2 linked regions of the Caenorhabditis elegans genome follow. The protein of the gene in region 1 interacts with the protein of each later gene in a pairwise test. Each region holds a gene or a part of one and is shown in the gene's direction. Other genes may lie near its edges. The genes, in order: snr-4 and snr-5.

Region 1 (3,843 bases):
GCCAAAATTGATCCAACCGTCACAATGATGCAGGTTGAAGAAAAACCAGATGTAACATATTCGGATGTCGGAGGCTGCAAGGATCAAATTGAAAAGCTTCGAGAAGTTGTCGAGACTCCACTTCTTCATCCCGAGCGTTACGTTAATCTCGGAATCGAGCCACCAAAAGGAGTTTTGCTCTACGGTCCACCAGGAACAGGAAAGACGCTTTGCGCTCGTGCCGTTGCCAATCGAACAGATGCTTGCTTCATTCGTGTTATTGGATCAGAGTTGGTTCAGAAATATGTCGGAGAAGGAGCTCGAATGGTTCGTGAGTTGTTCGAAATGGCTCGTACCAAGAAGGCATGTCTTATCTTCTTTGATGAAATTGATGCTGTTGGAGGTGCTCGTTTTGATGATGGACAAGGAGGTGACAATGAAGTTCAACGTACTATGCTCGAGTTGATTAACCAACTTGACGGATTCGATCCACGTGGAAACATCAAGGTTTGTCTTTAATTCTTTATGGAAATAACCCAAAAAAATCTGTAATATAAATTTATTTATCTCTTGCTTTCTTGAAGGCAGTTTATATCATTAGTTCAGTCCTTTCATCCAAAAAAAAAGACACACATTTTTCGTTTGATAAGTTTCCAAAAAATTAATGCTTACATGTATTGTAAATATGAGTGTTTCATTAAAATAATTTGATATTTTCAGGTGCTTATGGCAACAAACAGACCGGACACTCTCGATCCCGCTCTCATGAGACCTGGTCGATTGGATCGTAAAGTCGAATTCGCTCTTCCAGACCTTGCAGGTCGTGCTCACATTCTCAAGATTCATGCAAAACAAATGAGCGTTGAAAGAGATATTCGTTATGATTTACTTGCTCGTCTGTGCCCAAACAGTACAGGAGCCGAAATTCGCTCAGTCTGCACCGAAGCTGGAATGTTTGCAATTCGTGCTAGAAGAAAGGTGGCAACTGAAAAAGATTTCCTTGAAGCTATCAATAAGGTTGTCAAGGGATATGCCAAATTCAGCGCCACTCCAAGATATCTGACACATAATTAATTGTACCCTATTCGGTTTTCATTCTCTTTCCGGTCCTCGATTAACTTATTTTCGCCCGTCCACCCATTTTTTTTTGTACAGATTCCCCATGTCTCCGATTTTTGTCTTATTTATTACATCCTATCGTCGTGAGATGCACCCAAGTTGGCCCAACACTGTCAGATGTATTCGTTTCGATTTTATGGATAAATGTGATTGGGTTTCTGACTATTAAAACTTGTATACACCAGTTTAAATGAATCTGAAAACGTGCCATAAAACCTTTTCATAAGAAGAGTAGTAATCTAAACGCGATTACGGTGTAATGCCAGAAAAAGTAAGAATAGAAGAAATTGGCAAGCGTATTTTAATGGTACTAATATTGTGCACACTTTACCTAGGAATATATTTTTCATCTCTACAATGTTGACTAGCGCCCTGAATGCTCCAAGGATACTGTTTTCCAACTAAATGTTCAACTGTTCAGTATTTATATTCTGCCTCCTAGAGGCGTTCAAAAATTGCGTATGCCACCCATGTTTCAGGGGACATCGCGGGCAATTGGGAAAAGTTTTCAACCAGCAATAAACGCACCTCGGCAAAGCCTCATTGGTCACGTTATCGCCCCAGCGCAAAGCTAAATTCAGCAGCTCACTCAGCTGATCCTATAAAACACAGCAACCGACAAATCGCGGCTTTCGCGCACAATGGTGCTTTCTGCATTCTGTATTCTTCGGAATGCGGCGCGTGTGCGTTGCGGTCGTCTTTTTCGAATTGCAATCGCTCGCGGTTTATCGGAGTCTCTCTGTTTTCTTGAAACGAATCTCTTCCCTTCGATTAAAACTGCATAAAAACTAATAAAAATCTCAAAATTGATTTTTCTTCTACTTTCTTAAGATCTGTAAAGTTTCGTTCCTCCGAATTCCTCTTTATGATTATTTAGAAAACCTCGCCCAATACCTTATTCTTCACTCTTATCGGTATTTTTTACATGAAATTATCATTGATTCTCAGCTAACCAATTTAATTTCAGGGACTTCTATCAAAATCAACTTTGATCATGTCGGCGTGAGTTCACATTGTTTTCATTGACCAGTAGTTTAAATTTATTTTTACAGCCAAGCCAAACCCCGTTCAGAGATGACTGCTGAAGAACTCGCTGCAAAGGAGGACGAGGAATTCAATGTCGGACCACTCTCCATCCTCACCAACTCAGTCAAAAACAATCATCAAGTTCTCATCAATTGCAGAAACAACAAGAAGCTTCTCGGAAGAGTTAAGGCTTTTGACAGGTTAGGTTTCTTAGAAATACTATTAAGTAAAAACTCACAAGTATTTGTCGGTAGTAAACTTCAGACAACATTTTTTAAAGAAAAGTGTTTCAAAAATAATATTTGAATCATCGATAGTGAACGTATTTTGGTTGTCGTCTCGATGCTGTAGCAAAATATCATTTACTATATATAATGCATTTATTCCGTTTGTCCATAGTTTGTAGTCTGTGAAGGTTTGGCTTAGTGTAGGGATATAGTCGGGGTACTGTAGTGGTACAATAGTGGTACGGTAGGAGTACTGTATGATTATGGTAGTTTCAGAAAAATTAGTTTTCAGCCCCAGAAGTCGGGGCAGCGCCAGAGGTGCGGTCCACGGCTGGTAGATTTAATAAAACGGCACGATCCTCCTGTGCTGTAACAAATTGTCGTGGCATCAAATTATTCAAACACGTATTGCTACGATTTCCAAAGGGAAAACACAAATCTTACACTAATATAAGTACTTTCTCATTTGCCGTAACTTTCGTGTCCCGCAAAGCATGCAAAATTCCAAGAGGAGTTTTCTACTATTGTTCGTATAAAAATAATTGGAACGTATAGTCTAATTCTTTACTTTTTCAGACATTGCAACATGGTCCTCGAAAATGTGAAGGAAATGTGGACTGAAGTGCCAAAGACTGGAAAGGGAAAGAAGAAGGCAAAGTCTGTCGCCAAAGATCGTTTCATCTCAAAAATGTTCCTCCGCGGAGACTCCGTCATTCTCGTCGTCAAAAACCCACTGGCACAAGCTGAATAATTCACCTTCAGAAAATCTCCCAATCAGTACGGTTTTCTCGTATTTGTTATGACACCTTACAATTTTCGAAATTTTCACTCTTGTTCTTCCCCCTCCCGTTCACCCTGTTGTTTCGTTTCAATGATCATCATTTTCCACTTTTTATTTATTGATAAACGTTCCTATTTAATACCACAGTCGTGTTTTTTTCTGAAGTTGAATCCGTATCCTCGCGGCAGATGATTTTTGTAGTTCTGCGTGATTGTTGCTTGAACTTGAAACCGGTTTTTCGATTTTTCGTCGATGTTGACTGTCAGTGCTATCAGAATATCATCGTCTTTCGTCTTCAAAGTTCAGGTTACTATTGGTCGTTATTTTTTGAATAAAAACGCTATATTCCACGTTTTTCATGAAATGTGATTTATTGCCATATTCCAAAAAATCAATTTCAGAAACGAAAAATGCCGATGGTCAGAGTTGCGACGAATCTACCAAATGAGAAGGTTCCTGTTGATTTTGAGGTTTGTGTTTTAATCAAACATTTTCTAAACGACTCAACAAACACTGAACAGTCTAGAGAAAATTTGTAGAAAAAAACAAGTATTTTAAGAGAAACAAATATGGTTCCCGGTCTCGACACGACGAGTTTTTTCGTTGCGAGAAAGTGTGCGCCTTTAAAGATTACTGTAATTTTATACTCGAGTTTCTGCAGAATTCTTAAAGATTTTATATAGTTTTTCTCACAATAAGTTTTTCAATGAA
Region 2 (3,130 bases), on another chromosome or scaffold:
AAATCATCAATGTAAATTTCAGCGGATTCGTTACGACGTGTCTCACCACATCGTTAGTAGGATTTCAGAACACATTAAGTAGAAATCAAGAGACGCGGAATAGTGAAATGAAAATGCGACGTTTACCTTTCTGAGAAGGACGGTTACACCGGATGTACGCGTCGACGCTTTAATCTAATAAGGATAAGGTTCAATGCATGAAAAGGTGTTTACATTTGAAACCTTCTATTTCGGTTAAAAGAACTCGAATGAAATATTGCATCAGAAAATCTATAGTTTAGAAAATGCGTTTATTTTTAGAATAGGACAATTTTACAAGCAAGAGTCATAAATTAATACAAAAATTACAGAAATGTCAAAAAATAACGATATTCACAACCATTCGGATAGAAATTAAAGAGACAATCAAAAGGGTCATTTATTGTAGTTGCTTGATCTCTTTTCCTGTTTTCTTCAGAGCTTCAAGTACATCAGATGCTGGTAAATCAGTTGTAACTGTGATTTTCTTGGTTTCCACGTTAATATCGTCAATTTTGATTTTGTCTTCTGTAGAATAATAGGATTAATTTGATTAACAAAAAGTAAACCAAACCTCCAAGCTTTCCTAGAACTTTTCGCGCAGCATTTGCACAGCCATTGCATGTCATGCCCATTTCGAAAACGTACTGAAAATGTTCAAATTATTTTTTTTTTCACAAATATGAGAATATTTAATTGTAATTTGTAAAAAGTTAAATAATTTACCTGTGTCATGATATTTGTTGAGTCAGAAATCTGGAAACTCTGCTTCTGCTTGCCTGAAAAACGTTAATTTGAATGATTGGAATTAGTACAGTCGAAAAGAAATGAACAAAGAGACGCAAAATGGAGAGACAGTGATAGGGCGACTCGTGGTCAATGCTTTATCTCTGAGAATTTGCATCATTCGACATTTTTTGATCAAGTTTTCAAGAAACTGCGATAATTAAAAAAGGAACTATTGAGATGGGACAACTCGAATGGTTTAAGCAACTTTTAAATGTTTTCCAGTTTTTTTTTTTACTTTTTGGAAAAATTTATGGAAAAATGAGAAAGAAGCTTAGAAACAGGATAAAGACACCAAATGACGTCACAGCTTTGCATTAATGCATCTTCTCTATTTTCTCGGCGTCTCACTCATCTTCTACTTTGAAACGAGCGTTTTTATGGGGTGAGAAAATTATCGATTTTAAGGGTGATCAGTTAAAGAGAAAAATAAAGACGATAACATTTTGATGGAGCCTGTTAAATGTTGTGAATTGGAAGAAATAGAGCCTTATATAAAGAACTGTTTTATCATCTACAGTAGTCCGAAAGCCATTTAGCAGGATATTCGAGGCTGAAGAGAAGTTAACTATATTTAGATAGCATAACTTATTAAAACTCAAAAAGTACAAGGACATTGAAAAAGCGGAAAATACAAATACTCAGTTTAAATTAACTAAAAAACCAAAACCCACATCTTTTTCATGCATGATGCATGGGTATGATTAATTTTATGTCGTCAAGTATGGTGTCGCATACGCAGTCTGCAGTATGTCGTATTATCTGATGCTAGCGCAACTTTCGAAAATTCAAGGTTCTTTTTTCATTTTTATGGAGGATTTCGCAGCGTTTTAACCTTTTTAAATGTGTTTTGTTGAGTTTATGTTTATTAAAACAACTTTGTCACTATTAGAAAATAGATACATCTTTCCATCTCACTGAAAAAACCGTCAGATGGGTTTTAAACTTCTTAAATTGTTCAAACATAACAATTGTGATTCGGAAACGCTTTGAATGTATTTTTATTGCTTAAATTACTTGTGTCCTTCACTATTTTCGATATCCCTCGTTTCAAAATATATTATTTAAAAATATTTCAGAAATGTCCGCAGTTCAACCAGTGAACCCAAAACCGTTCCTCAACAGTCTCACCGGAAAGTTTGTCGTTTGCAAACTGAAGTGGGGAATGGAGTACAAAGGTTTGTATTGACATAATGAAATATTTCACCAAAAGCGCCAAATGTTTAAGGTGTCCTTGTTGCTGTCGACTCCTACATGAATCTGCAGCTGGCTCACGCCGAGGAGTACATTGACGGAAACAGTCAAGGAAATCTCGGAGAGATTCTTATCCGGTTGGTGCATTTTTTAAAAGAAAAAATTCAAGCCGTAGAAACTAAAGTTATTACAATCTTATGCACATTTATATCGTAGTAAATCTTGAAAAATGTTCTAACTTTAGATGCAACAACGTTCTCTACGTGGGAGGCGTGGACGGAGAAAACGAGACGAGTGCCTAAATTCTTCAAACCCTTCTCAACAATTGATCTTATGTTCACAAGTTTTCTGTCTTTTTCGCACATTCTTAATCAATAAATTATAATTATCTTATTAAAGAAGTTTTTAAAATATTTATTAAATGAAAAAAAAAATCATCAGCAAATTATGTAAATTATCAAAGACACAGCGAATCCTCTTTCACCAACGTGGCGCTCATTTCATTTTTGACATCTACTTCTTCAACAACTACAATACCATTCTCAATTGTCTTCAGCTTCTCTTTCTCATTCATCTCCTGATCATCCTCAACTTTAGCCCAATCTTGTAATTCTCCTGATCCGAATAACAAGAATATTGAACCAGAGAAAATATGTGCCAGTGAGCATCCTATGAAGATATTCTGCCACTCCGCAGCGGTTCCCTAAGAATATGGATAGCAAGTAGATTTGTCAAAAATCTCTAAAATAGCTTACGTCTTTTCTGAACATGCTCATGACTGCAGGAGTTGTCAATCTACCAATCATTGCAACAAACATTGAAATTGCAGACATGGTTGCAGTATATTGTGGTGCCAAACTGAGTAGTGATGTGTAAAATCCACTCACAAATGTTCCCATTGAGCTATACCTGAAGACTTTAAATTTGGAAAAGTCGCTGAAAAGTATCGAAACTCACATTAAACAGAAGAAAATAAGGCCAGTTGTTGGATTAGAGCAATCGACAAAGAATGCAAGTAAAATAAGTGAGAAGGAACTCCCAAAACTTGCTGAAATAAATACTATTTCTGGAAACTTGCAAAAATCAACTGACCAACACCATGTGATACCTTTACAGCTTTAGTATTACTGAG

The links.
Region 2: the proteins of snr-4 (region 1) and snr-5 interact in binary tests that used the Caenorhabditis elegans proteins (3 or more experiments, as listed by UniProt).

Annotation. Positions count from the first base shown.
Region 1 is NC_003283.11:11,977,946-11,981,788, reverse strand, and holds snr-4 (putative small nuclear ribonucleoprotein Sm D2), read left to right. Parts: upstream 1-2,065; 5' UTR 2,066-2,092; coding exon 2,093-2,100; intron 2,101-2,150; coding exon 2,151-2,324; intron 2,325-2,455; exon of another isoform or gene 2,456-2,476; intron 2,477-2,927; coding exon 2,928-3,102; 3' UTR 3,103-3,281; downstream 3,282-3,843. Other genes in the region: rpt-1 (26S proteasome regulatory subunit 7), read left to right, coding at 1-486, 700-1,053; MIF-like protein mif-2, read left to right, coding at 3,385-3,438, 3,534-3,602. UniProt on the Caenorhabditis elegans protein: Plays a role in pre-mRNA splicing as a core component of the spliceosomal U1, U2, U4 and U5 small nuclear ribonucleoproteins (snRNPs), the building blocks of the spliceosome.
Region 2 is NC_003281.10:7,860,187-7,863,316, forward strand, and holds snr-5 (putative small nuclear ribonucleoprotein F), read left to right. Parts: upstream 1-1,883; 5' UTR 1,884-1,885; coding exon 1,886-1,982; intron 1,983-2,032; coding exon 2,033-2,135; intron 2,136-2,242; coding exon 2,243-2,300; 3' UTR 2,301-2,388; downstream 2,389-3,130. Other genes in the region: cuc-1 (Copper transport protein ATOX1), read right to left, coding at 419-546, 593-665, 745-753; putative transporter slc-17.3, read right to left, coding at 2,456-2,701, 2,754-2,907, 2,956-3,046, 3,091-3,130.